Linked DNA regions of Lonchura striata. The protein of the gene in region 3 interacts with the protein of the main gene of each other region in a pairwise test. Links are inferred from orthologs where the notes say so. Each region holds a gene or a part of one and is shown on either strand. Other genes may lie near its edges. The genes, in order: SEPTIN3, XIAP, CKS1B and MEOX1.

Region 1 (8,083 bases), on a different chromosome or scaffold from region 3:
ATAGTGTGTGAAGCTACTTGCACTTGTTCAGTCACTTGCACTGCAAAGCTCTACAGCTTTTCTCTTTCTTAACTGTTTCACAATGAAAGCTGTGAAGCATCCCTCAGCCTTTTTTTTCCCCTGCATGTCTCTGACAAGGAACATTGAGCCTGCCACCTAAATGGGCCTATTGTGCCACCTTTGCTTTCTGGACCCAAGCCGTATAAGGTGAGTCTGGCACAAAATCCCATGTTTATAGACTTTCTGCAGTGTCACAGGTATGACCAGCCACCAAAGTGCTCTATGAAGCTGTGACACTGGGGCTGAGAGTGATATCCCCATCCTCTCTCTCTCTGACAGCCCAGTGCAATACCCAGTGTATACAGGGAGGTTTGAGAGAGCAAGGAGCCTGTGGCAGAAAGTTGTCTCTTCTCCTCCTACCCCAACAGGCACCCTTTGCATGCATGTAGGTGCAATGGTGCTATCTATGAATGCTCTGGACACAGAGGGATTCTGTGTGTCCCACTCCTGCATATCCCAGGTATGTCAGCTGGTGCCACCATCCTATGTGCACACATCTGTGCATCCTGTGCCAGCCAGTATATTTGCAACTCATATCTCCAGTGTCCTTCCATTGTTATGGCTCTGTGCTCTAGTCCCCAATGGCTCCTTTCAGCAGCAGGGGTTCCTCAGGCTAGCTCTGAAAATCTGCCACAGCTCCTGGCTTGTGTCACTCAGCCTCACCTGTGAACCTGGGAGCAGGAAGTTTTCTCCTCCATTCTCAAAGAAAGAAGGAGAGTTCATTGGGCTGCTGTGAGTGGTTTATGGAGGGGAATGCAGTGAGTGGGATTACTCTTCTGCCCAAAGCTTTCTTGCCCTGGCAAGCAAAGGCTCAAAGCACAAGGTGCAGCCTGAAAGTTGGTAATTCTCTGGGGATCCAAGTTAATTTTTAGCTCTAAGGAATGGATCAGGACATCCTGCAGATATCCTGGGTCTTCCTGGGACATTTCATCTACCAGACTGCAATTGCATTACCATTCTTTTCCACACCAAAACCAGGCACACTGGCAGGAGCTTTCTGGCGGTGTTTCAGACAGAGGAAAGTCAAGAGTCCTTTCATTCAGCCAGGTAACAGATACAGTGATGCAAGTCCCCTAACTGGGGAGTCTCACTTAAGAGGGAAATGCAGTGAATAGGATTACTGCTGTGCCCAAAGTTATACTTGCCCAGGCAAGCAAAGACTCAAAAGAGCAGGAGTAGTCTGAAACAGATACATTTTTATAACTTGGGGCTGTGAAATGGAAACGACCAGGGGCTGGGTTGCATGGCATGGTGTGCCACCCTCACCTGCACAGCTCACATTCCCTGCCCTCTGGCACATCACAGCCATATCTTCAAACACCAACTGGGAAACCTGCTTCCTCACCTCAACTCCCTGATAGGTGGGATTGCCCTGTAAATGGAAACAGCTGAGCTGTGAGGTAGTATAAAAACTTCTCCACTGGAGCTGAGGGGCTTGGAGCAGTCAGGAAGAAGTTAAACTGTAGGGAGGGGAGTCTGCACTCACAGGGGTCCCCTCTCCCCTGCTCTGTGCTCTCCTCTGAGTGCTGCCGTGCCTGTGCTGAGCTCCACTCTGCCCGTGACTCAATGCAGAAACTGAGCAAAAGAAGACAGCAACTGGGTGAGGGCTGGATTAGAGGGAAACTAATTGTTCATCTCCTCTGGCTTACTTTTTGTGCTGTTAGTCCTGACACAATCAGTATTAAGCCAGGTATTTTCCATGGCTATGAAGGACTTTATTGTCAGCAGTGTCAAAGGCTTCCCCAGTGGAAGTGTGTGACAGACCGTGTGGTTGAAGTTTTGTTTTCCTGTTGCTCCCCTGGGAGCTGCCTCCCTTTAGCACTGGGCAGGCAGCAAGGAGCAGTCTGCAGTGAGGTTTCCTTTACAAGAGGGTAGGTCTCCATCCACCTGGCTCCTGTGCCAGCTACACTGCCAGGCTGTCTGGGAATAGTTAAAGGCAAATGCTGCCTGAAAACTGAGATGGTTTCTCCTGTGTGGGATGAGTGCTGCCAGAAAGACCTCAGGGGAGAATGAAATAGTTACAGATACTGAATTAAACTGCATAAAGAATCAGAGAAGGTCATTATTGCTGGAAATACTACAAGTATCAGGTTGGTTTTTTTCATGTTTTCTGTCTCTTTGCCCTTAAGGAAGCAGAGAACTTGCACTGTCCTGAGCTCTGCCTTCCACCAGTATTCCCAGTAATGATGTGGATCATTGGATGGTGATTCCTCTTCCACTTCCCTCAGCCCTGGTCACCTGAAATAATGCAATCTTTGTCCCTGCCACACTGTGGGTGCCTGTCTCTCCTTTTGTTTGCTCTCACTTGCTCATCAAACCATTCATATTCTCATCCCATGCCACCAAAACACCTTTCTTCTTTCCTCCTTGTTTATTATGTTGCCCTTCAAAGTTTCTTACAGTGAGAAAGGTGTAAAGTGGCAAGCTGAATTTCTCTTGACCCTGAAAATGCCACAAAGCTGGCAAAATTAAGAAACAATCATAATAATGATAATAATGAAGAAGCAAAAGAAAATCAGCATAAGGGAATGAAGTGTCAATTTGGAAGAACATCCAACAAGTGATCACTAAACTTGTGCAGTGGAATATAAATTGTTGCACTGAAATATGCCATTTGAGGGGGGACAAAACTAAGAGAGGAAGGGAAGGCATTTCAAAAATTCAAATATTTATTTATTTTTTTTTAATCACACCCAGTGTCCTTGGAAGCAGGCAGCACAGGCCTGACCTGGCAGGTCTGCATCACTCCTCCACCTCCTGCCATAGGAACAGGGCACGGGGTCATGTTGTGGGGCTGCTGGTGGCAGAGGTCAGGAAGGTGCAGGACAAGGGCAGGAGTGGTCATGGCACCCAGCGTGGGAGCCAGCCATGCAGGCCACAAGAGCCCCATTGTCCCAGCTGGAGGCGGGCTGGCCGGACAGGGCTGGAGGTGGGGGCTCAAGCATGTGCATGACGGCAGCCCCAGGAGCCCTGCACCCCGAAACACCCTGACAGCAGGGACCGCCCGGGACCCCGGCCCCTGCCCTGCACCTCTGCTTCCAGCCACAGCCGACCGCCATGGAGGAGGAGATGGGCCTTCACCGCAGCTGCCTGTCCGCCGCAGGGAGCCCCAGCCGCACGCCGGGCCCCGCCGCTGCCCGCCCGAAGCGGAGCTGCCTCTCGGTCACCCTGCGCCGTGCCCCCGGGGCCGCCGGGCCGCTGCCCTGGCAGCGGCTGCGGGGCCCGGCCCCCGTCACCCCAATCCTCCCGCGGCCCCGGCCCGTGGCGGCCGAGGGGCCCCAGCGGCACGGCAGCTCTGACGGGGCCGAGGCCACCTCGGTGGCGAAGATGGGGCTGTCCTGTGCCCCACCACGCTACGGTGGGTCTCCCTGACGGGTTGGGCTGGGCTGGCAGAGGGAGGGTGGGAGGGAGGCACCAAGGGGTCCCTCGGCGATGGCGTGGAGCCCAGCATGGGGCAGGACCCTTCAGAAGAGGTAGGGTGATGAGAGGGAGGATGGGGGCTTCCTTCCCTTAGAGTAATTTCCTCTTGACCCACACCAGAATCATGGGTGGGCAATAGCTGCTGGGAGGACAGCCCGTGTGTTTGTGAGACTGGCAGCCAGCAGGGAGACGGGCAACTGTGGCTGCCATGTCAGGACATTTTCTGGGTGCTGGAGTGCCTGCCTGTCGGAAACCAGTCTGTCCACTGCTCAGCCTAGCCCGGGGTAGCTGCTGACAATTACTTCTAAATGTTCCTGTAACCTGCAGTGGGTGCAGTTTTTGTCCCAGAGCACTTGAAAAAGAGGAACCCCAAACCCTTGCCAAGTCTGCCAGGCATCCCACAGCCTGGCCATCACCCAGGGGTGTTGTCTTGTGGAGGAACACGTGGTGCTCCTGTCATCCCACTGACTGGAGGGTCAGAGCATTCCCATGTGTTGGTGCCCCAGCACAGCATGACAGGGACACAGTGCATGCCGGAGCCAGGGCTCACAGATGTAGGAGAAGGAAATGCAAAGCAGGGAAAAGGCATCCCCATCCAAAGATGCAAGCAGCCAGAGACATCCACACAGCTCTCTAGGCACAGACACATCCACAGGGCACATGGAGGTGCCTGCCAGAGCACACAGGGATATGACCCGTGTACCCCAACATGGTCCAGGTGGCAGGACCTGTCCGTGCTCACCAGACGCAGCCATACACATGTTTGTACACACATGCACGCAGAGGGGACAGCGCTGCCTCTGCCGCTGCGCCTTGGGCTGACAGCCAGGAATCATGGTGCTGGAGGAGAAAAGGTTTCTCACACCTTCACAGCCAAGCTGAAGGGCAAATCTCTTTTGATGAACCAACACATTCTCAATTTCCTCCCTCTGGGAAAGCAAGAGATTTTGCAATCCCCTGATCCTACGAAATACCTAGGGGCAAAGAGCACCGTTTCTTAACCCCGCCGGAACTAAGCTGTGAAGGGTTAAATATGCCCCTCCCTAAACAAGCAGAGATGCTGAAAAGGCTGGGGAATTGGGAGGGAAAAGGGCAGGAAAATGCCTGTGGGGTGTGGGTGTGCAATGAGGGCCCCTCCAGGACATGGGGGCCCCATCGGCAGCGGCCCCTCCGATCCCGAGGCCATGCACCCCCCCGCAAGTCAGGGAGGCTGGGGGGGCCTGGGATGGAGCCGGGGCCTGGGATGGAGCCGGGGGAGGGTGCGCGGGGGGAGATTTTGCGGAGATGTTTAATATTCAGGTCACATGACGATGGCAGCAGGAGCAGCACCAGCATCCCCGCTCTGCTGAAATAGCCACTGGAGAAGGAAGGGAAGGAGAAAGGGGGAGAAGAGGACACAGGGAAGAAAGACAAAGGTAAAAGCAAGTGGAGCTTTGTAGTTCACCGTGCTGCTTCATCAGCGTCAGGCTAGAAAAGTGGGGGGAGACCCACCCCCTTGGGAGAGGATTCGGAGACAAAGGAAGCTTCATGTTCAAAGGTAGGATGCTCCGGGCTTGGCAGGGCTGGGCAACGCCAGAGGGACACCGCTGGGGCTTTTTGCGCAGGCATCCTCCCCCGTGCCCCCACGCTGCCCAGCTCTGGGCATGGAGGAAGGATAACCCCGGAGGGCAGTGGGAGAAATCGGTCTTTCTCTCTTTTGTCTTTCCTCTGGTGTTTTTTTTGGTTTTTTTTTTTTTTTGGTGGCAGCAGTTTTGTATGAAGAAGGAGCAGGGCTGGTTGTGGTGCTGATGCAGAGTAGCTAGAGCCAGGCACTGCTTTGAAAGGAAGGGATAATCCAGCTGGGGAGTGTCCACAAGCTCCTCAGCACCTGGCTTGTCCCTTGCCAGTGACAGGCAGTGGGGATGTCCTGTGCCTCTCTCTCCCTGGGCATCTGCACAGGAGCCAGCAGGCATGTGAGCAGGGGCACAGGCAGCTGTGGTGGTGTGGCTACCACGGTCCAGGGGTGCTCAGCATCCTCCTGCCTTGTGATATAGCTGTGCCACTCAAGGGGTGAACTGGGATACAGGACTGTATCTCCAGACTGTAGAGCTGGAGAGCAGCACCAAGGGCATAGCTGGGGCTGTGGTGGCTGGGCTGGGGATGTGTCCAGCTCCTTCACCTCCAGATTTTGCATCTCCAGAGAGTCTTCAGCACATGCTGCCCTAGATTTCACTGCAAGCTGGGCTTTTGCCCAAGCTCTTTGCAGAGTGCTGAGGGGAAGAAAGGTTGCTGTCAGGAAGGCTGCAGCAGCCCAGAGGACTGGGATGATCTTCAAGCCAGGCAAAATGATCTGGTAAGAAGAATGGTTCTGTTCTGTGCTCTGAGGTCAGGCAGTACATCCGGCGGTGGGGCTCAGCTATTGCCCTGCACAGCAGAAAGACATGCCCTGGGGTCATCATAGGAACTGAGTAGGGAAAGGTATTTTTTTAGTGGAGAGATGCTCAGTCCAGCACCTCTGCAGATCTGAAGCAAGGAGCCCATGATGCCCATGAGCTCCAGGGAGGCTGTACTACTGGAGTAGCTGCTTGCTTTCTTTACTAGGAACCTGGCATCCTGGCCCCTTTGAGGGCCTGCTTCTGCCAGTCACCTTCAGATCTGCAGGTTCAGGTTTTGAACTCATCCCTCCTCCCTGTTCCATATCTACAGGGAGTGGGACTGTGGGTCCAGGACCGTATGGGTAGAAGGGGCTGGGGTGAGATGTGTGTGAGGATCACTGCCTCCAGCTGCAGAGGGACAACCTCATGCTACACTGGAGGAGAGCTGCAGCAAGGCCATCCATGTGTTTTGTGGGGGTTAAATAGCTTTTCCTTGCTGGAAGCTGGTTTGTGGTGAGCACTGTGTGCAGCTCTCCCTCCCTCTTGCCAGACAAAGGATGGGAAGGCAGGGGGAGGGGATGCGACTGTATCTGGGTTATCAGGACATAGTAGATGTTGGTCCCCACTACCTGAGCCCCCAGGGGTCCTGCAGGGCCACCTCTGTCCCCACACAAGTCCTGCGAACATCAGAGCATGAAGGGTGAGCTGCAGTAGTGGTGTCTGCTGCTGGCCACGTATGCTGGCCTTCCAGGAAGAGGTTCTGGGGTGGCTCAATGGGTATCAGAAGCAGGAGCTAATTGGGACAATGGGGACCTCTCTGGGCATTCATTCTGGTTCTTCCTGTCCCTGCCTCAAAAGCTATGCCTTCCCTTGATCCAGTCACATGGAGCATCTCCTGTGAGCCAGATATTATTCCCTAAATGCCCAGCCCAGGGCCACCTCATATCGGATCTGGGCAGCAGGGTGGTATCACCAGCTACAGCCCTCTTAAATGAGCTTCTCTTAGCACAGAGAACAAAGCAGCAAGGAAAAGGGAGGCCTTGCAAACAGCAGATGGTAAGTGGTTAACCTTTGCTAGCCATACTGGCTGTAGTGCCCTCTAACGCATTCATTACAGGGGACAGCTGCGAGGGCCACGGGATGTGCCCAGGACACAGAATGCCACCCCTTGACCAGCCACTCAGTGTGTCAGGAGCCTTCCTAGCACCATTAGCTTTAGTGCACATAAAACAGAGCCACTCCCAGGAGAAGAGGCAGGCATGTTTCATGTCTCAAGGTGCCTCTTACAGTTCTGGTCCTGGTTTTGCACACCCCAGCACTAGGCTGTTCCACAGCTGGCTCCTTGAATTCACCTGTAGGAGGCAAAAGGTCAAAAGTCATATGCAGAAAGATGAGCCCTGGGAAAATTTCTGCAAAATGGGGACTTCCCTGCCTAAGGCTGTATGGGAAGGAACCCCACACAGAGAAGGCGTCAAGTGGCCTAGAGGAGAAAAGTAGGTGGCTTATCCTGACACCTTGAATGTTCTGATATAAAATCTAGGAAATATATTTAAGGAGACTTTGGGAAATCTTTTCTCCTGGTCTCAGGGTTTTCTATAGCTGCCCAAGAACCTGAATCTGAAACATCTGCCCTAGTCACTGCAAGCTCCTGGCTCCAACAGTGAAGCTTGCAAAGGAATGGTCTTGTATTATGATGTCCACAGCAGTTAGCAACATCTACTGGCTCTGGGCAAGGCTTTCCTTGGTGAGACTGAGGGATGAGTTATGAACCTCTTAGTGAGCCTTGAGGATGACAGAAAATTCCCTCCTTCCTTCTCCCTGTATAAGAACAAATGTTGAAGGAATAAAGGAGACAGTAACAGATTCCCTGAGGAAAAGCTACTACCTAGGCAGTGAAAGGGTCACAGCCCACATGGCCCATGTTCTGCACCCATCCCATGAAGCTGCGCAGCTAGGCTTTCTTCCTATCTTGACCTGTTCCCTTCCACCTTTGGAGTTTATTTGCCCCCATTTCTCCAGTAGCCAAGTGCCTCACTGGGCCCACAGCCCCCTGTCCCTAATTCCCTCATTGTTCCATTTCTCTCTCTCTTCTCCCATTCTTAGGGCTAGGTAGGATCCCAGCAGGGCTGTGTGGGGTGTATATGGAGAATGCTGCAGCAGCATAAGGGACACGGCACAGCCACACAACCATGACACAGTGATGTGGGCAGCCTGGGAGAGGACGAATGAAGGGTAGGGTGCAGAACTGG
Region 2 (8,167 bases), on a different chromosome or scaffold from region 3:
TTCTTTTCTAGAGGAATTCTCTCAAAGCAAGACCACCTTTTCTGTAGGGGCTGCCAGGCAGTACAGCTGCACTGATTTAATGGCTTGTTGCTGCAGAAATGGGACACATTCACAAACACTTCTGCCCTTCTCAGTTGCAGTTTGGGCCCTCCCATCAGTTAGATCAGTGAAACTGAGAAACCTGGCAGAAAACTGGTCAAAACCCAAATCTCCAGCCACCTCTGCAAGTTGAAGCACTTACTAGGAGGCCACAGAGGCACCCTGCTGACTGAAGACAAGGTACAAGCCCTCCTTTCCAGTAACAAGCTGAGTGATTAGTTCATCTAGTCTTAGCTGAGTGCATGAAATTAAAATCAAAACAGTTGCACCTTCACAAGACACAATCTGGTAAGTGTTCATTTGACTTATTACTCTGACCTGGTAGCTCATTGCTGCAAGCTTATGATGGAGGACTTCCCCTGCTCTACTAAAACCTACATCTCTTCATCTGAAAGTAAAACTGTCAAAAATATTTTTAAAAAAACACAAAATTACTTTTGAAAACCACAGTTTCAAAATTAAATTTATTTTGGACTATGATGGGATAGATTCTGAAACAGTGTGAACAAGTTTGCATGGCAGAGGCAGCACCGGAACTGAGACCTCCCAACTTGTACACCACGTCCTATAACCTCCATTTCACTCCCACATGGGGATTAAAGCAGTAATTATCACAAAGTGCATGTGCCTGCTAGCATTTAAGTATATGCATAACTCAACTGATGCAGGTAGTTCTTTAGCTGAGATAAAGTACAATCAAGTGCATTTTGCAGATAGGATGGCACAACTAAACCAAACTCTCTTTTGCTGATTCTCAGCCCTTCACTTGCATGAGCAATGTTACAGTGTTGAGTTAAAGTAACGACCAAGCTACAAGCGCCTGAAAGATCAATTCCCAAAATTTCACATTCACAGAATGTTAAGCTTCTTCAGTTTACCCTGAGGCTTAACATAGTGTATGAACTGCCAGGCAGGTACTCTATTAAAGCCCTCCATCCATGCTAAAGGCTCCTTGATGCGTTGAATCTCTCACAAAACAAGGTAAGGTACCAGTTACTATGTAACTTATAAATGCCCATGTGGGCTGCAGTCATAGATCAGCATCTTCTTGTGGAAATAATTTTCCTTCAAACACAGCACACACAAGTAGGTCTACAAGGAGTCCAGACTGAGCAGCGTAAGTCATCACACTTGGATTCCAACTTCATTTGCACACCAGTATCTGGCAGTAGCAAATAAATGAATATATTTTAATAAAGTGTACTTAGAGACAGATCTGAACTTGAAACTACCACATTTGTGTATTTTTATTAGATACTATTACACGTCAGTAGCTTAATTAATTAAATCCAAAGCTTGTACAGTTTTGACCGATGTCTCTGAACAATGTCTTGGAAGCAAATGGTCACTGCTGCATTACTAATTAACATTATGACACTCTTAAGACATAAAATCCTTACCTTCTGATTTCTGGATAGCACTGTTAAATCATGACAAGTTGATCACATAATCAAAAATATCACACCATTGAAAAAAATAAAATACAAAAAAAACCCAAAACAAAAAAAAAAAGTATAATTATCTTAGAGTATCCATTATTAATCCTAGTAGATTAATAAATTCTAGTAGAAGTTGAAATGCCAAATTGAAAGAAAGCATTTTCTTCTCTCAATATAGTTTCATATTCCCCCAAAACATAGAAATGTGTTCTCATTTAGGTAACTACTGCCAAAATACTATCTCAACTGATCTAGCCAGATCCTGTAAGCCATTTCATACTCCAGCAAGTAAATATTTTTCCATAAGAACTAATCTTTTTTAGCAATTATGAAGGGTTTTTATCCCCCTAAAATGCCTACCAAAAACCTTCTAAATTTTTGTAATTCTTCTATTTGCTAGTAATGTCAGTTTTGCCATTCTGTAGCATCCTTCCCCTCCCCACTTTTCTAACATCATTTTAATGAATTGTCCTCACTTTCAACCACAAAGACCAAGGGTAAACTTACACCTAGACGTAATTTTTATTCTTGGGCATACTCGTATTAGACAAATAATTCAATAAAAATAAGTAGTGTTATTGCATTTATTCCCTTTTTACTTTAATGCTTAAAAACACTTCATGTGTTTCATTCTGAAATGATAGCATCCCAGCTGCGTTTTCCTCTAGTTAATCAGAAGATAGGAAGTTTTGGAAAAAGAAACAAAAAGTTACACACTGAAGACTCTCCCATTAAAGCTGTCTTCCTAAAAAAGTTCTCTAAATATTGTCTACATGCATATACTTTAGATTCCAGAAAATAAGTTCATGCATATTTCTCAAATTTCTAAAGCTACCACTGCAAAACCTGACAACTGTTATCCAGACACAATTACATTTCTTTTAAAACATATGGCCTCATCTGCAAATTGCTCTTTAAGTCACGCCTGGAACACCATTTAAGCAGTCTTCCAAATGAAGTGCAAGTACCACAAATACAAGAATCTAGCTAATCATTTTGTTTTATTGGTCCCACAGCAGATGAACACTCTCCTCCCACCCTGTTAAAGAAGTCCTGCTCTGAGGGGAGAGAACAATCCTAGAAGGTTTTATCATGGTCACAAGCCATGTAAGTTGCCTCTTACAAAGCTCAGAGAGCTGGGAACCCAGTGAGAACAGTGCAGTTGCCATTACGTGATCAGCTGTGAAATGTCTGTTCTCCTGCAAACTCCACCAGCCTCTCAACATGTTCAGCTTGTGTACTAACACAAATAATGGCTCCAGCATGATTCAAACTAAAAATTACACGGCTATAAAGGGGGCCCCCTTCACTACAAAATGGTGGCTCTGGAAAGAACAGTGTTTTGTGCCGGGATTCTCTACATTCTCTAATCTCCAACCCACTGCCATTTCCCCTCATGCACAAAGAAAATTCATTGCCAAAGCTGCACAAGCTTTCAGAAAACACGAACAAAAGAAAATAAAATGAGTGATTATCAGGAAGTGTTTCTCTAAGTGATCCCTGCAACATTCATATTTAAAACTGAAAAATTTAAAATTTTGTTGTTTCTTACAACAAAAAGCAAAAGCACATGGAAGAATTAAAATAAAAGCGCATAAAAAACATATAGCTAGTGCAAAGAACACCCCTGTTAAGCTAACAGAGAAACATGAAATGACCAAACTGGTGAAGCGCCCTTTGAAGAGCTGTACTCCTGAAACACAACATTTAGTGAACTTGCCACATAAAGATGGCTTAAAACAAACACAGGCCCACAATGGAAAGCTCCTGGCACACCTGGATTAGTTTGAGAGGTGGCAACCGAACCCCTCCGTGAACAAACGTTACTTTGTGGAATAGAACAGGAGTGACTACCTAACCGTACTCTGCCTGGATCAAAGAATACAGGGCCAGTCCCACCGGAATCGGTAAAAAAGCGGGAACGGGGGCTGAGGCCTCTGCCAGAAAGGTCAGTACTGTAGAGCAGCGACACAGGCACGCTTCGGGGTCCGCATTACCTCGGGGGGCGGCTGAAGATGAGCCCGACCCCCGCCAAGCCCGGCCCGGAGCTGGATGGGGCGCTCGGGGCGCCGGCACAGCCGGGCCCAGCTACGGCGGCCGGGCGTCGGCGGAGGGCGGCAGCACCCGGCCGGACCCGACGGGAGAGCGGCCCAGGCCCTCCTCCCGACCACGGCTTCGACCCCACGTCCAGCAGCAAGGACGCAGCCCCGGCCGAAGGCCTCTGCGCCGCCCCCCAGCCTCCCCGGGCCGCCGAGGCCCTCGCCCCCCTCTCGCAGGCCGCAGCGCCCATCCCTCCCCACGGCGAGGCCCCGCACTCACAACTCGCTCTTGCCGCCTTTCTCCCAGTTCTTTATCCACTCGGCCGGGAGCAGCGCCGCCATCTTCCCCGTGCAGCGCCGAGGGCCCGGATGGAGCAGCGGCGGCGCCGGGTCAGAGGGGACGGACGGGCCGCGAGAAACCGCGGGACGCGGCCGCGCCGAGCGGGGAGGCGGCGGGGCGGACTGCGCCTGCGCGCGGGGGCCGCGGGGCGGTGCCACGCCCGCGCGCGTGCGTTAGAACCGCGGGGCGGGGCGGGGCGCCTCGCGCGCGTGCGCGCTGAAGTCCCGGGGGCGTCGGGCTCCGCGGGCGCGCGTTAGGGACGCGTGGTGCTGGGGGCGTGCGCGCGCGCGCGCGCATTAGAGCCGCGTGGTTTTGTGTGTGCGTGCGCGCGTTAGAGCCGCGTGGTTGTGTGTGTGTGTGTGTGTGTGTGTGTGTGTGTGTGTGTGTGTGCGCGTGTGCGCGCGTTAGAACCGCGTAGTGGTTTGTGTGTGCGTGTGCGCGTTAGATCCGCATGGTTGTGCGTGTGTGTGTGCGGTTAGAGCCGCGTGGTGGTGTGATGGTGTGCGCTGGTTAGAGCCGTGTGCCGGTCTGTGTGCGCGGGTTAGAGCCGTGTGCCGGTCTGTGTGTCCTGGTTACAGCTGTATGCCGGTCTGTGTGTCCGGGCTACAGCCGTGTGCCGGTCTGTGTGTCCTGGTTACAGCCGTGTGCCGGTCTGTGTGTCCTGGTTACAGCCGTGTGTCAGTCTGTGTCTGTGTGTCCTGGTTACAGCCATGTGTCAGTCTGTGTCTGTGTGTCCGGGTTACAGCCGTGTGTCGGTCTGTGTGTCCTGGTTACAGCCATGTGTCGGTCCGTGTCTGTGTGTCCTGGTTACAGCCGTGTGCCGGTCTGTGTCTGTGTGTCCTGGTTACAGCCGTGTGTCGGTCCGTGTCCGCGTTAGAGCCGCGGCGCGCGCGCGTTGGAGGCGTGGGGCGGGTGCCCGCGCGTGGCGCGTGCGTCGGTGCAGCGGGCGCATGTGCGCACGCGCGGTGCGGGTGCGCGTGAGGCGCCGCCGGCCCCGAGCACGGCGGAGCGGCGAGATGTCTGCTCGGAGAGAGGGCGAGAATGGTAAATCGTTTGAATAAATAGGCGGTTAAAAAGGGATTGTGTAAAGCTTGCTATGACACGTCTAAATGGTCCTTCCGATACAAGCACTTAGGACAAGCAGTTGTATGGACCTCGTATTCCGCGTGTCGCCCCTAATGCGTGTGCCTATTTTATTACATGTCGCTTGTCTCCATTAAGTTTCTGCAAGTTGTTCTGTGTTCCCTTCAGTTGCTAATTGGGATATTAGGGTTAAAACACTCCATTTGGTCGGGTAGCAAATGTTTTTAGTCAGACATTTCTCTTTCCTCTCAAGCCACCTACGTTCTCAGTCTTGTACATGCTTCCTCCTCTACAGTAGTGTCAATTGTTTCACAAATACAATGAAACTTCAGCAAATGGGGAAATTGAAATAAAATCTAAAGGTGAGGCCCCACAGCCCCTGTGCCGTTATCGGTGCCAGCACTGCTGTGCTCGCTGCCTTGTTCTCCACTCTGAACTGAAACGTGCAGCTTGCTTGTTTTATATATATATATATATATATAGGTGTAACAGCTTTCCACTCGCAAAATAGCTCTGATCAGGAAGTCTAGCATTTCAGCAAATCTACATAATTCTGCCTGAGACAGGGACTGGTGTTGTTTCAGTTACCATTCTCAGCCAGTTTCTGCGAGCTGTGCAGAATATTGTGCAGAAGGCTGCTTATGAACAACGCCTACTTCAAGGGGATCCCTTACAACCCTAAACTCTGCAGTAACACAAGGAGTAAAGGAGGCAGATTCTCTGCTTCTCATACTTATATTTTAATTATATGGAGACCACATTCCAGGCATACTATATGCAGTGTAATAGAAGATACACTCAGTTTACAAATGCCTAATCTATTTCTGATAGATTATTTTTAAAATAAAAATTCAATAAATATATTGAAAACATATGTATAAATGATAAGCATAGAATTGCAGGCCCGAGGAATAAAATGAGAGGGTGTTATAAGCAAATGCAATAAGTCTATTTAGAAGATAAGCCTAAGAGTCACATAAACAGAAAACAAGAATCTAACAAAATATATTAGGTGCAAGGATGTATGTAGGAATAGTTATGTAAGGTCTGAAGATAAAAATTTGAGATTTTGCCTTCATGATGAGGAGGAAGAGGCAGTCATGGAGAAATGCAGTAGAATAAAGCCATCAAATCATTGCAGGACCAACAGATTAATTCCCAAGTTTACTTAAGGAATTTAAACCTCTTATTTCTTGAAGTATATTAGTAACGGACTGGGACAGGCTGAAAATAAAAGACAGTACATGCAATGCAGAAATACACATGACAGAACCAGTTTTAAAATCTACTCTGAGAAGAGTCTTGATTCCACAGCATTTCTATAGTACTATACAAAACCTTTAGTGGTTATTTAACATAACATTTAATATTTATATAAAATACATTCTCCTTAATTAATATGGATTCTATATATGACATATAAGCTCTAAAACATAGACATTGCATTTTGTATTGCATAAAGTAATGTAGGCAAAGCAAAATATTTTTAAAATAAGTATGTACCAATTCCTTCTCAGAATGACGTATTTTTGACACAGAGTAGTCTGTTCCACACTATAAAGTCATATTCAGTTCTGACTTATCCTTGCTTTTGTGGTGGACATCTCTAGATAGTGAAATGTCTTTCTCCGTAGCACTTGATGTTAGCTGAACTGGGAGGAATTCCTAGGTTAAAAAATAAGACTTATATTTTAGTTCTGTAAAACAGCCTTTATAGTTCATTCTTCATCTTTTCATGAGGCTTTTATTTGCTAGAAAAAGCATCCTGGGCATCCTCAGATTTGTATCAATAAGTCAGAGAACCTTGTTAAAAGCCAGGACAATTTTGTGTTTCTGTTGTTTCAACAGGTTTACATTTACCTTTCTAAATAATGGAATAAAATAAAATGTTGAAAAGAAGGAAGAATGATGCCTGCAAATGCAGGATATGTCACAGCACAATCTTAAATCACCTACTGTGCTTCCTGCCTGAATAAAGAAGTGCTCTGAAGGCTTTGTCCGAGCTACATTAAAGGAAATGCCTCTGTCACCACTATGGTAACAGCTGGATAGCAGCAGGAAGTTATTTAACTGAACAGTAAATACAAGGTTTTCAAGGCTGTAGTACATTATCCAGCAAATACATAGCTAAAAAAATATCAGTGGTAATTGGATCTTATAAAAATGTATTTATTCTTGGTTTTCAAAATAAGTACTACAGCCATCTATTGGGAGAGCTGGAAATGTACAAAAGCAAAAGAAATAAAACATCCAACAGCTCTTTTCCTCTGTATTAACCAGTTCCATTATTCATGTGACAAGGCACAACTTTATTATCTGCTTTGAGGGTTAAACAATTGAGTGCTTTACTTTTTCTGCACAGACAATTAAGAATTACTTTTTGGAAGAAATTATTTTTTTATTATTTGGCTTTAGTATCATGTCCACGTAAGAATTAATTGTTCTAAATTCCCCTTTTTCTTTTAACAGTAATTGTTTCATGATTGTACCAGTTCTTTTTCTGTAGACATTTCCTAAATTCTCACACAGAAAAAATAAAGGTACAAAGGAGGCATGAGTTCACATTGTTAAGATGATTTCCATTTGGTAAAAGCTGTTTAGGCAAGTAAGAATCTTAAACATTAGCTAATACTGGCTGTTTCCATTCATCTGGACAGCTGAAATGAGAAACATTCTTAGACAGTGATTGTCAAATACATCTTGCAACTTTTTGGTTTTTTCATAGCTAAACTCAGTGTCATTGCATCATCCTGAGCTATAAAATGTCCCAGATTTAATGAAGATCACACCATTATGGAGAGCTTTGCTTATTTTCAGCTCACAGAAATCAGCATTCTTTCACTCAGAGTTGTTTGCTTTTCTTACCACTTGGCAGCACAGGCAAGAGCCAACTGTAGATTTAGGTTCCATTTCCAAACGCAATTGGCCTGGATATCTTCTGGTCAGGGCTTAACATGCACATAACTTGTTGGTTCTGTGTATGTTCATGAAACCTGCTGCTGAATAATGAAAGGCAGAAAGACTAATTAAACTCTTCTGCATAATGCCTGTGAAGAAGAGGCTTTGTTAGAAAAGGTGCTGGAAGCAATGCCTGGAGTAATGTGATTGGAGCAGGATTTGGTAGGCAGCAGATCAGTTATTTGCTTGACAGTATGTTTCACTTATTC
Region 3 (6,132 bases):
CAGCCGCCGGCACATGAAGAAGGAGTTTGTATCCTGCGTGTAGCCCTGAGGGGAACGGAGGCGCCCATGACGGCGGGGCGCCCCGACCCCAGCCGCAGGCCCCAGCCCGCCCCACGCCCGCAGCCCAGGCCCACCCGCGGCCGCACCTTGAGAATCTCGTCGCCGATGACAATGATGCCGGCGGTGCTGGCGGATCCGCGGGCCGCCGCTGCGGGGCCCGAAGCGGCCATGGGGCGCCAGGCGGCGGGCCCGCGCACTCGCCCCGCAGCCCGCAGCACCCACCACATGGGGCCGCCCGGGCACCCGCGCGCACCGCCCCGCGCGCTCACGGGCCGGCCCGCACGTCCGTCACGCGGCCCCGCCAGCTCCCATTGGCCGAGAGGCGGGACCTGCGGGGACGGAACCATCGCAGGGGCGGGCAGAGGGGGGTGCCGGTGCAGCTCCGCCTCCATGGCCGTGCCCGCTGGGCCGGGGCGCGTGCGGCCCCCGTCTCCGGTGGGCGCGGGGAGGCTCTCTCTTCCCCACCTCCCAGACCCCGGGGAGCCTCCTCGGGAAACCCCCGGGCACAGACTCCGCGGTACCGGGACCCCTTCGCCCTCCACCCACCTCCCCCGGCACTGCAGACAAACGGCTCCCAAACATCACTTTATTAAAATTTTGAAGGCATCGCAACGGGAAGGGCCTCCGGAACCCGGGCCGAGCAGTCAAAACGACGCACAGGCAGCGTCGAGGGTCACGGGGTGAAGGCCCCGAGAAATGCCGAGGAGAAGAAGGAGAAAGGTGTTGTCTCAATGTGGAAGGACTGGGAGCTTCGGCAGACCAGGGGCCACTCACTTTTCCGGCTTCTTCGGCAGTGGCCGTCGGAAGAGCAGGATGTGGGGCTCTGCGGGGCAAAAGAGGGGGTCAGGCCGGGCCCCCTGGGCGCCACCCGCTGCCCCGCGGCGCTCACCTGGCTCGTGGATCATGTAGTGGACCCAGCCCTGGCTCTGCTGCACCCCCAGGTTCCGCCACTCCGACTCCGACATCAGGTGGGTCTTGGGCACCAGCTTGGCGATGTCCTTGGGCAGCATCACGTGCCTGTAGCGCCGCACCTCTCAGTCAACACCGGGGCACCCCCGACAGCCCCTCACTCCCCAGGACGAAGATTCCCTACCGGAGAGCTGCGCCGTGACCCGATACAAAGCCCTCACCAGGCCCCCCCGCCTTACCAGGGCAATTCCCCTCTCGCTCCAGCAGGGAGCCACGACTCGCCCACCGCTGCCCTCCCCCACTCGCGAGCCGTTAGTCGCCGCTCCACCCCACCGCGGCATTTCCCTCCCTCACCGAAGCAAGCTTTAACCGACACCCCTGCATCCTTATCAAGCAGACGCTACCGGGACCCCTCCCCGCTGCGTACCGGTACTCAAACTCCTCATCGTCGTACTTGTCGGAGTAGTAGATCTGTTTGTGCGCCATGACGGGCCCGCCGCGCCCTCCCTCGGCGGCCGTTGGCGCCCCCGCCCCCCGCGCGGCGCTTTCAAACGCCGCCGCCCCGCGCGCCCATTGGCCAGCGCCGCGCCGGGGGGGGCGGGGCGGGGCGGCCGCCCATTGGCCGGCGCGCGCGCGACACGGCGGGGCCGCGGCGCCGCTTCCCGCGGGGCCGGGCGCGGGCCGCGATTGGCCGTCGCGGGTCACGTGGCGCGGGCGCGGCGGGGCCACGCCGGAGGGGCGCGGGCCGGAAGTGAGTGGCGGCGGGGGCGGCGGGAGAGGGGGCGCGCGGGAGCGGCGGGAGCGGCGGCGCGAGGCCCGCGCGTGACCGATGGTGCCCGGTGAGCGCGCGCCGGCCGGGGCGGTGAGGGCGCGCGCGGATGGCGGAGGGGGGACCCGCGCCGGGCCCGGGAGCCCCGGCCAGGCCCCGCGGTGCCCCCGCGGCCGCAGTGTCGCTGGACTGAGGCCACATCGCTCGCCGCCGCCGCCGCCTTCCGCGGAAACGAGTGGGGGTTCTGCCGCCGCCGCTCCCAGTGCTGTGAGGGCCGAGTCGCCCTTCCTAGCTGCCTCGTTTGCCCTGCGTGAGGGAGCCTGGCCGTGGGGCAGGCCCGGAGCCTCCTGCATGCCGCCCGACGGGGGTTGGAGGAGCCGGTGTCGTGCTGTGCTGAGGTTCCGGGGTGACCCACCCGACGTGGCGGCCGGCTGCGTGTGCCTGGGGCTCAGGCTTGCGTTCCCCACCCCGTGCTGGTGCGAGACACGGGACGGACACCGGCTGTAGAGGTGCTGCAGGGTCTAGGGAGAACCCCGAGCCCCAAGACTGGCATGACCTCCGGCAGGAACGGGACAGCGGCTGGGTTTGGAGGGTTCCTCGCCCTCTGCGGGGCTGGGCTCTGCCCTCCTGCCTTTCGTACGTCAAAGTAAGGCAGCACTGAGTACCTGGAGCTTACTCAGCTGTTGTGGAAAGGGGTAGCTGCTCCCCCTTGGAGATCTGTGTCTGCTCTCCAGCAGTGTTGTGTCCATCTGTTCTTGCTTCTCCCCTCGAATCTCTTAAATGGGGTCACCCACACAGATTATAGACCACGGACATGGCTTCCAAGGAAATGTGACCTGGGCCCTGCTTGCCACGTTGGCGCTACAGAAGTCTATGGGCAAAGGGCACTGCTTTGTGGTGCTTGCCAGGGCTGCCCTGGTGTCAGCCTGTAACAGAAGGGCTGAAGATGCCATCTCCTCTCAGCCAAGGAGGGCTTCAGGATCCACCTGCTGCCTTTTGGTGGGGGAATGCCTTGACTGGGCACCCTGTGAAGCTGTGCATAGCAGTGTTCCATCCTCAGGAGGGACACAAATGGGCTGTGGTAAGGCTGAGCACCCTGGCTCTGGGTGATGATGCTCCTTCCCTGGCACCATCCTCGGTGCCCGATGTCCAAAGGATGTGGTCGCCACCTCTGCTTGGCGGTGGCGTGGTACTGCAAGGGTCAATCTCCACTGCCATGGCCAAGCATAGCTCTCCTTTATCTTGCTGCCTTCCAAGCTACTGGCGACAGCTGGCACAGGCTGCAGATAAAGGTACAATTGCTGCCAAGCAGTAAATCATGTCTGCTGCCCTTCACTGCTCCACCAGCCTGGCCTGGACTGCCTCACTAGGCAATGGCAGTGGGAGTCAGAAGAGTGAGAAAAGTGCTTTGCTTGCCTTGTTTTCCCCTTGCAGAGCTTCCTGCCTCTGCCAGCTCACCACTTGTAGAGTCTTTCCACGACTCCTGTCTTCACCAGTTCCCCTGGGAGGAAGGGACACAGCCCTGGGGGCTCTGTCTATAATTTTGCATCAGGATGCCAGCTGAGGGGATGGAGGAGGGGGCAGTTCTGCCCCTCTGGTTGCTTTTGCTCTCCATCCTTGCATGTGGCTTTCCAGTACTGGTTTTTAGGCTGGGCAAGGATCGGTTTCAGCACTTTTCTTGGGTCACAGAGTGACTCTAGGCCCACAATGCCATTTGCCAGTGTAAGCAGGGCTCAACCTCTTCTTCCTGTCCCAGCGCATTCCAGCTCCATCTTATTTCCAATGGGAAGAAGGCAGCTTCCAGGTTTCTCTTACTCTTTGTGCCAGCAGCAGGTTGCATGGCAGCCACAGCCCCATCCACCTGTGGACAGCATGGAGGAGCAGGGTCTGCCTCTTGGCACCGTGGCCCCCACCCACCTCAGCGGGCTGGGACAGGGCTGGCTAACTCCCTGTTTGTCCCCGAACCGCAGGTCGGAGTGCCAGACGAGAGGGGCTGTGTGTCTCTGCTCCCTGCCCAGGGCCTGCCCTGCCCTCCGCCGGCGATGGAGTATGTGGTAAGGACTTCGGTGGAGGGCTAAGTGGCTTCGGTGGTGGATCCTGCCTGCCTCCTCTGCCTTCTGGGAGGTCTCCAGCCTCTTCCCCAGATCTCCACTGGTATCTCCTAACCCCCTCTTCAGAACGAAGGAGAGGTTGTGTGCAGGAATGCGTAAATGTTGTTCGATGCTGCTGTGATGTGTGAGGGAAAAATCAGCTATTGGCTGGATTTGAGTGTTCTCCTTTGCTTTACCCCTGCCTCAGAGGTTCAGCATTGACTGCAGTTGGGCAGAGGGGGTCTCCTGCCCAGGGCGAGGTCTGTATGTGTAGCCATCTGCACCTTGCTGCAATTTCTTGCCAAACCACTAGTATTTTCCAGGCCTCTGGCTCCCAGGTTTTTTCCAGGGAGGATGTTGGTAGTGGAGCCCTGAGCATCCCCACTCTGCTTCTCTTCCTTGCCCCGGCTGATGTGTGAAGTCCCACTCTCAGGTGCCTGAAAGTAGTCCACATCCTTCTGTTTCTCATGATCCATTGTCTTTCTGTGGTGGCAGGGCACATGGAGCAGCTGGGCCAGGATATGTCCCCAGAGCCCCTTGGGGGCAGTTGTTCCAGCTGCTCTGCTCATCCTCTGCTGCAGGGGCAGGAGCTCCTGGCATCTGCGTGGCAAAGGGAAGGGCTGCAGCCTGTGGGATGGGGCTTGGGACTGCCTGTTCAGGCAGGGCTGGTGTTCTGTGTCTTCACATATTTCCAGGTTTGCCTTTTGCACTCGGAGCCCACTGGGAGGGAGCTCTGATGCCCTGGGGTGGACTCTGGGGTTGAGGGAGCTGTGATGGTAGCACCTCTGGTCTCCAAGGCCTGGGAGCTGCAATGCGTCTTGTAACAGGCTGTTGAGTGATGTGGGCAGACTGGCCTCGAAGGTTCTGAGAAAATCAGGAATGACTCTAGCTTATAAAAGCAGAGATGCGTCTGAGCAGGAGCTTCAGCTGGGGAGCTTATCAGCCCTTTTCTGCCTGTAGGTGATGGCTGCTCCAAGCCCTGGGGTGGTGGAAAGGGGCCAAGGAGACACTCCTGCCCCCTTGCAATTCCATTCTGCTCTTATCCTGGGGGAGCATCAGGGCTCACAGAGCTGCCGTGCCAAGCAAACCTAGGCCCACATCAAGCAGTGGCCAGGCCATCACGGGCAAACCCCACTGCTCCACGGCCACTTGATACTGCCCAGCCAGCTTCCCCTGGCAACAGGGCTGCACTGGCCCCTCACTGGGCCAGCAACTTCCTGGCTCCGGGCTTCCTGCTTTTCTTTAGAGGAGTGGTGCTGCGGCCACAGGAAGGTCACAGCACTGAACAGCCGGGGGCCCCTGGAGGGGACAAGCACTTTGTGGAACAGCCAGCACAGCTCTCTGCCTGTGGGACCACCATGGCTGAGCTGGGGGGCTGGCTTTCACAGAGCTAGTGTGCATGGCCAAGGAGGTACATCAGTGACTGGCCCACTCGCGTGTGCTGCTGCCCCTCGCATCATGTAGGTGCAATTTCCAGCCCTGTTCTGGCTTTCCTTTCCCTGTCCCCATGGCAGTGTGCCAGGCTTTGTGAAGTGGGGCAGGCAGCTGCTAGTGCCAAGCAGTGCTCCAAGCAGGGAGAGCCTTTTCCTTGGCCTGGATTTACCCAGTTTTGGTTTGGTGGACAGAGCACCTGGTGGTTGGTAAGACTCTGGCTTGTGATGCATCAGGGGTTGGGTTCTGTCTGAACTCCTTGCTTCATCCTATAGGTGGTAAAGGGGGGAGAGCTCTTGTCCCTCAGTGGGACCATAGTGGAGTGGGGAGAGCTCTTGTCCCTCAGTGGGGCCAAGGCTGTGGAGGGCAGGACAGTCGGGTTGGCCCAAGTTCCTGCTGCATGCAAGTGCCTTGAGGAAAGGGGAACAGGGGAGACCTGCCCTGAGCCCCCTGATCCACAGGTGGGAGTGTCACACAGCTCCCCGAGGCTGCAGGGGCCAACTTTGCCCCCAGCACGTTCTTGCCGCCCGCTCCCGCTAGCTCCGCCTGTGACCTTGATTTTTCTGCTCCAGATAAGCACTGCGTCCCCACCCCTCGCCGGGAGCCCCTCCTGCGCTGCGCCCCAGCCCCAGCGCAGCCCGCGCCGCGGGCAGAGCCTGCCCCGCCGCCTGTGAGTCAGCACAGCTCTTCCGATCAGCCGCAGCCCCTTCATCTTTTCTCCCGGGAGGAACAGCTGGGATGCGGGAAGCAGCAGCGATTATCTGCAGCCTCTCCCACAGGCTCCCCACCACGACTGGGGGATTGTGCTGAGCCCTGCCTTGCCCAGCGCGCAGCCTACCTGTATCCTGCTCCTGGCCGTCCTCCTCTTTCTCC
Region 4 (8,144 bases), on a different chromosome or scaffold from region 3:
GAGAATTAGTTACTTAATTTTTGTGTGTAACCAGTACACAACGCAGCTCTGTGTGTCCTAGCATAATATTTCTACACAGAAATGATAACCAAAATGGTAACAATATGAGCACAATGTGCAGCTTCATCTTCTAGGTGTCATTTTGGTGGCCAAAGCAGTAAAACTGGAGAAATCTGTGAGGTTTTGTGACTGACCTGGCCTTATCTGTGCCCATCAGAAAAGGAGAAACCAAACACAGGTCCGGGAATGCACAAGGGAGCAGTGTGGCACACGCTGCAGCTGGGCTGCTTTCCACTCCAGGGAATTAGTTTGGTTTGTTCCATGCTGCTTCTGCTACTTCAGAAACCCACAAAAAAAGATGGGGAATGTACAGGAACAAAACTTCACAAGTTTCTGCCCATGTTTTTGCCCTCAGTTGAACAATCCCCTTTGTACTGCACAGACACACTATCACATTTCACAAGTGTGACTTGGGAGGGAGCAGGGGGAAGCAGGATTTGAAGTGTGCATCTCTTGCTGGGACCTTTGCCACCAGCTCCTGGGAGCCTTGAGCCCAAAGCCTCCCCTGGGGCTTCTGCTGCCCTCAGGGACACGTGGAGGGTGCAGCAGCTCTCCAAGCCTTCAGCACAGGGCAGAAACTAAAAACAAGCAGCCAGTGCAAAGTACATGGGACAGATTCCCTTTCCAAGGGGCGGTCCACCAGTCTGCATCCCCAAAAGACAGTGGGAATAATTTAAAATGGATATTTGGGTATTTCTGGGGCAGAGTAGGGTGTGTAGCTAGGAATCTCTCAAGGACACTGCGTGCCACAGGGTATTGTCAAGAGAAATAATCCTTGTCCATGGTTGGGGTTCTGTGAGATTCCAGAAGTGGAAACGTGGCCCAGCTGCTTCAGTTTTGACAACAGAATGTGAGAAATGACAAACGTGTGAAAGGACAAAATCATCTTGGACAGGTTTTTTCTACTGTACAGCCAGTTTAAAAAGAAGAAAGGGGAAAGGGGAAAGGGGAAAGGGGAAAGGGGAAAGGGGAAAGGGGAAAGGGGAAAGGGGAAAGGGGAAAGGGGAAAGGGGAAAGGGGAAAGGGGAAAGGGGAAAGGGGAAAGGGGAAAGGGGAAAGGGGAAAGGGGAAAGGGGAAAGGGGAAAGGGGAAAGGGGAAAGGGGAAAGGGGAAAGGGGAAAGGGGAAAGGAAAGGAAAGGAAAGGAAAGGAAAGGAAAGGAAAGGAAAGGAAAGGAAAGGAAAGGAAAGGAAAGGAAAGGAAAGGAAAGGAAAGGAAAGGAGCCAGAGGCAGATGTGTGCCTTTCCCAAGGAGTGTGTCTCCTTCCAGGATCCCAACCAGTTCCATGCTGGGTGGAATTTAGCAGCTGCCCCTCCCCAGGGCTGCAGTGGTCACTGGAAGGTGGAAGCCCAGACCTCTCAGGGATGTCATTGCTTACAGCTCCCTGAAAGGAAGAGAGTAGGGAACAGCAGCAAGTATGAAAAGGAAGTGTGAAGAGTGCTAGTAAGAGAAAATAAAGGAATGTTTTTCTTCCACTTAAAAGAGGGTATCAGTCTCTTTAAGGATAAAGATATCCCTCTAATGTGAGTAAGCTGAAATCTGCTGTTTACCTATGATTAGCTGATGTTTTAATGAAAGCGTTGTTCACCTTTTAAATTGCTATTTTATTTAAACTTCTTTGTATTTGGGAAAATTTTGCCTAAACATGCTTTTTTTAGTATAAATGAGCTTAAATTCTACAAATGTCTGCAAAAGCTAGAAACCAATCAATTAATATTTTTATCCCTGCATTCTCTGCCTGTGAAATTAGGCTACTGGAAAATATTCTCCACTTGTTGGCAGGACTGTGGGGAAAAGCACACTGTAGCTTGTATGTGAATACTGTGGCATTTGAATGCATAAGAGCATCTTAAATTGTAACAACTTCCTAAGAAAAAACAATTTTATGCATATTTCACTGATTTGGATCTGAGTTATCAGCAACTTAGAGTTTGTATAATTACAAAATTATTGATTTTTACAGTGTAAAAAGAATTCTTTGCTAGCTAGGATGACACAATGAAAACCATGTACATTTTCTGCATTGTTGGACATTTTACTGATGGGCAAAGTTTTTGAACCTTCTGCTCTGAGGTTAAAATATTTGACATTTAGTGAGACCAAACAGAATTTATATTTAAAGGAAGACTTTGCCTCTTGTACTTCTTACCATAAACTGAGATGTCAAATTCCTAATATGACATTCCCTATTAGCACAGGCAGCTCAAGATGAGGGATCTTTGCTCTCTGCCATTCTCTTTTGCTCAGACAAATGGCAGGTGTGACTGGATAACTCCACACCCTAGAATTCAGCTCTGTGTGCACATGCCATGTGACTCCTGCTCAGTTACAGCAAATGTGCATTGTGCTGGAGAGTAAAATGTTCAGTACCCAAGATGTGCAGGAGTGAAATACAAAGACCAGAAAAAGAAGAGTAAGAGTAAGAGTAATTAAGAGTAAGAGTAAGAGTAAGAGTAATTAAGGGTAAGGATAAGGGTAAGGATAAGGGTAAGAGTAAGAATAAGAGTAAGAATAAGAGTAAGAATAAGAGTAAGAATAAGAGTAAGAATAAGAGTAAGAATAAGAGTAAGAATAAGAGTAAGAATAAGAGTAAGAATAAGAGTAAGAATAAGAGTAAGAATAAGAGTAAGAATAAGAATAAGAATAAGACAATAACAGTTCTGTTACCATCTAAAGTTTCCCCAGTCAAATACTATGGAATGTTTTGCTCAGCAGCTTTCTTTCTTAAGTCCCAGTCTCACCAGGTGTTCTCATTCCATCTCCTGCAGTCTACCACAACCCTGATTTCATATCACCTACCTGCGCTTTCCTTTTTCCTTCGGGATGGCTTTTTCTCAGAGTCACTTGTAGGGTTCGCCGCTGCCTCATCTTCCTCCAGAGGCACAGGCAGCCTCAGCAGGCTGGGGCTGCTGCCCTGTGCCTCGCCAGCAGCCAGGGCCAGTCCCGCGCTGTCTCCTGCTGCCAGGTGCCACTCGGGGCAGTGGAACGAGGGGCGCTGCTCCTGGGGGAAGCTGTGCGGAGCTGTCACCAGGCAGGAGGCTGAGAAGTCGGGGTAAGCGGCGCAGAGTGCTTTCTGCTGGAAGGAGAAGGGCGCCGCGGGGCCGCGGCCGAGCCCCGGCGCTGCGCTGGGCGCGGGGCGCTGCGCGCTGCGCAGGCAGCCGCTGCTGCCGGGCTCCATCCGCGCCGCTGCCGGCCTCGGCTCCCGCCTGCTCCGCTCAGCCTCCAGAGGCACGGGGGAAGCGCAGGGAAACTCTCCCGAGTTTCACAGGTCGCCTCCCTAAACAACAGTCTGCGCGTGGCTTTGGTGCTGCTGCGGGTTTGCTGCTTTAGCAACTCTGGCTCTAAAGGTCTTCATTGCCCTGGCTGGGGGAGCAGAATTACGCCATGAGCTGCTCCCTGGTGAAGTGCTGGGCACGAGGGAAACACTTTTTAAATACTGTGCCGGGGAGACGGTGGCAAGTTTGTGAAGTGAAATGTGAGCGAAGGGAGGGAGGGGTTAACACACATACCCTCAGCCCCTCCAACCAAAGCAAAGCAGGCAGCTATTAATCATCTGAAACCTTATATGCACATCTAATGGGATTTGCAGATGGAGCCTTTTAAAGAAACAATGTCTGTAGTTTTTTTTTTTTTCGAGGGAAAGAGCAGCACACACAAAAAAAAGTCTTTAATGTTTCCTTGTAACACTATGAAGTTATTTTTATTGCACTGTTAACAAAATTCTCCGTCTTGGGTTTAGAAAAAGCCCTAAAACAGGATTCAATAGACACCAAATTTCAAGAACTAAAGTGGGAAATAGAAGTAAGAAAGGACTTCACTAATTATATATAATTTAAAGCCCAATCCTAAGGTTAAAAAAAAATATTAAACCTGGCTTGTACACACATGCAAGGCTTTGAGTAATATTTGTTTGTTTTGTTAGATTTGTAACACATATATTTGCCGAGGGTTGGAGTCTGCTGCCAGTGGCAATTATTCTTTCTGTATTCTACTTTCTAGGGAATTTTCAATTCACCCTCCTGCAAGGAAATGTCCTGATTTTATGCCAATGAAAGACATGTTTTTCATCTTTTGTTGAACATTTTATAGTTTTTCCTAACAGAAAGCAGAGTTTTTTTAGGCCCTAGAGCCATCCCAGCTGAAAAGACATTAACAGGGAATCTGTTCTCAATCCCCTTTTCCCAGAAGTGTGGCAGCTGAGGATGTCCCAAACGCTGCTATGCCAGGGTTATTAATATTTTTAATGACAATTAAGGTAGGCATGTGTTCCATGTTTCCAGAAATCTGCTTGCAACCATTTCAAATACTCCCCTGGCCTTGCTCCACGTTGTGTGTGCCTCTGTCCCTTCTCCCACCACTGCTGCTGGGTTTTGTGCTGTCTCAGGGGCACAGGGATTTAACAGACATGAGGTCTTCATTTTTCACAAGAGCTGAAGTGATACTGAAGTTATTTTGGTTTTTTTATCGTTCAGAACTGTAAAATTCAATGGAATCTGGGTGAGGTGGGGAATGTGTTTATGCTGTTATATCTGTTGGTTTTTAGAACTTGGCCTTTTTCCAGGAAATCAAATTATTTTCGTTTAGATCCTTCTGAACAGGAACATCAAATTCCTTTCTCTCACAGGAATCTAAATTTTCATGCAAAATTCTCAATATCTGAGAGCTAATTAATTCTCTAGAAAGAACTCACCTAAACACTTAAATCTGTTGCTCTGCTGCATTAAATAGTAAACATTTAAAAGCATTTCATATTCACAGGCAGGAGGAAGACCCTCAGACTCCTTTTCTGAAAGATTTTGAGGAATTTGTGAATGCTGCACATATTTCAGGCACTGTCAGAATCCAAGTCAGAGTCCAGAAGGTTTTGCCCATGCAGAATATTTAATTTATATTCTCTATGTGTGTGTGTGTGTTGACATATGTATAACACTTCACTTACATGTGTCACTCAGAATTTGCATGAATTCACATGTTTTGCAGTTCTGCCTTCAGTCTACAAAAAGATCTCTCTAATTAGCAAACATTTGTCCTTGCAGGTGTGAAAAATGCATATTTTATGATTAGCTTTCCACAAATGTTACAATAAATATTATATGTGTAATGTTAAAAAGTTATGCTGTATTAATTCTCTTGCGTAGTATGTTAAATGTAGTTTTAGGTTACAACATAATGTTAAAATAGAAACTCTACAATACAGGATTTGTTACAAGATCAAGCAAGAAGATGAAATAATCAAGAAACTCTTCACACAGAGATGTAGCGAAGGGGGCCCATAAAAAATTACAGCCTCCTTATCAGAAAAGACAAACATTCTTCTGCCTTCTCTCTGTCTTTCTAGAACCAACAAGATTAAGGAGAAGAAGTTGACAAAACCAAAAAAAGTTCTTAATTTGCAAAGAATTTATGCATCATGTATGAGATATATGAATATACAACAGGCTATTGCTTTTAAAGTTATTCCTTTGTTCACAAAGCACACTTCTAGTGTCCGAGAGCATCCAGACATCTGTAATTCTTTGCTTTTTATTGTCTTGTAATTGTCCTAACTCTAAACTTTATTACTGTGATTATATTGTTATTTTTATAACCATTTTATTATTATTAAAATTAAAAAAACCCAACTGATTGGCATTTTTCACACAGGGACAGAAGAAAGGAGGATTGTCCCTTAGTTCCAAACCCACTTGGGTCAGGATCAGATCCCCAGCAGGGATTCCCACATCGTCTCCCTCCAGGTGAGACCACTCGGGTGTTGGGGAATGGTTGTTAGAACAAGGCCATGATTCTATGGAATACCTGTTCCAAAAAACCTCTGTCTAAGGCCCCAGAATCAGGCTTTTGTGGAACTTGGGATACACAGCTTGGAAACCAGTCTCTGTTTCTGGGAAATTGCATAGTGGTACAAGGTCTGGGAACGGGATAATAAGAACAGGCATAGCCTCAAAGATATGCTCTGTCCTTGGAAGGCATGGCTCAGAGATGACAAACTTGGCTTGGAGAGAGAACTTAGCTACATCTGTAACCGCACGCAGGAGAAATAAAACAAAGCCCTTTGTAAATGAAGCGGTCAGAGCTTACCGCTGCCCATGCCTGTAGAATACCCCATACAAGCTAAGGTATCTTTGAATAAAGCCGGAGCTTGCTTCTCAGTCCTATTGCTTAGCGTTTGTCTTCCCCCCCGCCCTCATCGCCGGGACAGCTCTCGCCGTCGCTGCTGCATCCCAGATGTGGGAGCAGCAGATCCCCGGTGCCCCCTGCGCTGGGAGCCCGCGGGGCTCCGCGGCCGCGCAGCTGCCGCCGCCACTCGGCGCCGCGGCGGGGGCCGGGGCCGCGGCATCTTCCCACGGCTCCTGCGGGGACACAGCGGGAGCCCGCCTGCCGAGCCCCGTTTGGTGCCTTTAACCTCCGCAGGGTCAACAACCTCCGCAGGGTCAACAACCTCCGCCAAATCAACCACCTCCGCAAAATCAACAACCTCCGCAAAGTCAACAGCCCTGCGGCCCGCCGCTGGGAAATGCATGGGGAGGATGGCACGCATGGGGAGGTGGGGCTGGTGAGGAGCGCTCCCGTAGGGAGGCAGGGAATTTTCCTTGAGCTTTTCCTCTGTGCATTTATCCTTCAGCTTTTCGTCTGTGCATTTATCCTTGAGCTTTTTCTCTGTGCATTTTTCCTGGAGCTGTTCCTCTCTTTCTTTATCCTTCAGCTTTTCCTCTGTGCATTTATCCTTAACCTTTTCTCTGTGCATTTATCCTGGACCTGTTAACTCTCTTCCTTTATCCTTGAGCTTTTCCTCTGTCCATTTATCCTTGAGCTTTTCTCTATCCATTTATCCTGGAGCTTTTTCTCTGTGCATTTATCCTTCACCTTTTCATCTGTCCATTTATCCTTCAGCTTTTTCTCTGTCCATTTATCCTTGAGCTTTGCCTCTGTGCATTTATCCTGGAGCTTTTTCTCTGCGCATTTATCATTCAGCTTTTCCTCTTTCCCTTTATCCTTGAGCTTCTCCTCTGTGCATTTATCCTTGAGCTTTTCCTCTGTCCATTTATCCTTCAGCTTTTTCTCTATCCATTTATCCTTCAGCTTTTTCTCTATCCATTTATCCTTGAGCTTTTTCTCTGTCCATTTATCCTTGAGCTTTCTCTCTGTGGGATTTCCCCAGCTAAGGAGCAGCCCCAGAAGCTGACCCTTCTTCTGCCCTCTGCACACCCAGCAGAGGTTTTTTTCCAGAGAAGGAGTGACAAGGGCAGCCACAGCAGCACTTGTGAAAAACATGTTCACTTTCTTGGGAAAATTTAAAAGTTTAATAAACTTTTTAATAGGAGATTAAGGACACAATAAGAGATAAGGATTATAGAGTAAAGGTTGTTATGGCCAGGTGCATCTTTGCACTCAGGCAAGAGCACACTGTTACTTTTGGGGATATCCCTTAAATACCTTTTGGTTTTAGTGTATTCTTATTTCCTCCAGTTTTTGGGCTTTGGTCTGCACTCTCTTCAGACGGTGAGTGCTGGTGGTTGGCAGATCTGTATCAGGTGTCTTTTTCATATATTCATTGGATGTTATCCCATCCAAGCAGGCATTTTAACACAAGCATACTTACATCAGCTATTTCACTCAGTTTAATTAACAACAGAAATAAAAACTATATTTTTAGAACAAAGTTACTTTAACACTACACATGGAAAATATATTTTAACATATGCAAAAAGCCAATATTATAATATGTATCTTTAACAGAGAGAAGGGGGCTGCAGCAGCTGTGAGAGCTGAGGAGGAAAGGCCAGGCCCAGAGATGGGCTCTGTGTATCTATCACTCATTTGAACAGTTTTCTCAGCCTGTCTGGAAGAATAAAAGAATAGCAGAAGTGTAATATTGGTGAGAATTTGAGACTTTCTGTGCTGCCAGGCACTGACCCCCAGGAGAGCACTGCACTGACCTGAGGCTGTGGAGAAGCTTCCAAAAGGGAATGATAAAATTGGAATTGTGGGTGTGGAGTTTGAATAGAAGTGTGTAATATCACACGGTGGAAGAGTTTAAAGTTTTATAAATATATAATAATAGTTATACATATATATATATAATGT

What was found.
Region 1: the proteins of CKS1B (region 3) and SEPTIN3 interact in binary tests that used the Homo sapiens proteins (3 or more experiments, as listed by UniProt). The two-hybrid records come from large-scale screens. The link is inferred for Lonchura striata from reciprocal best matches to the Homo sapiens genes CKS1B and SEPTIN3.
Region 2: the proteins of CKS1B (region 3) and XIAP interact in a two-hybrid assay, tested with the Homo sapiens proteins (3 studies listed by BioGRID and IntAct). The two-hybrid records come from large-scale screens. The link is inferred for Lonchura striata from reciprocal best matches to the Homo sapiens genes CKS1B and XIAP.
Region 4: the proteins of CKS1B (region 3) and MEOX1 interact in binary tests that used the Homo sapiens proteins (3 or more experiments, as listed by UniProt). The two-hybrid records come from large-scale screens. The link is inferred for Lonchura striata from reciprocal best matches to the Homo sapiens genes CKS1B and MEOX1.

Annotation. Positions count from the first base shown.
Region 1 is NC_134607.1:58,163,941-58,172,023, reverse strand, and holds the start of SEPTIN3 (neuronal-specific septin-3), read left to right. Parts: upstream 1-4,723; 5' UTR 4,724-5,007; coding exon 5,008-5,017; intron 5,018-8,083. UniProt on the Homo sapiens protein: Filament-forming cytoskeletal GTPase. May play a role in cytokinesis.
Region 2 is NC_134616.1:9,795,244-9,803,410, forward strand, and holds the start of XIAP (E3 ubiquitin-protein ligase XIAP), read left to right. Parts: upstream 1-4,876; 5' UTR 4,877-4,961; intron 4,962-8,167. Other genes in the region: THOC2 (THO complex subunit 2), read right to left, coding at 3,858-3,919.
Region 3 is NC_134635.1:908,069-914,200, forward strand, and holds CKS1B (cyclin-dependent kinases regulatory subunit 1), read right to left. Parts: upstream 1,488-6,132; 5' UTR 1,456-1,487; coding exon 1,397-1,455; intron 1,078-1,396; coding exon 831-1,077; 3' UTR 633-830; downstream 1-632. Other genes in the region: FLAD1 (FAD synthase), read right to left, coding at 1-45, 147-287.
Region 4 is NC_134627.1:5,975,869-5,984,012, reverse strand, and holds the start of MEOX1 (homeobox protein MOX-1), read right to left. Parts: upstream 3,253-8,144; 5' UTR 3,238-3,252; coding exon 2,859-3,237; intron 1-2,858. UniProt on the Homo sapiens protein: Mesodermal transcription factor that plays a key role in somitogenesis and is specifically required for sclerotome development. Required for maintenance of the sclerotome polarity and formation of the cranio-cervical joints.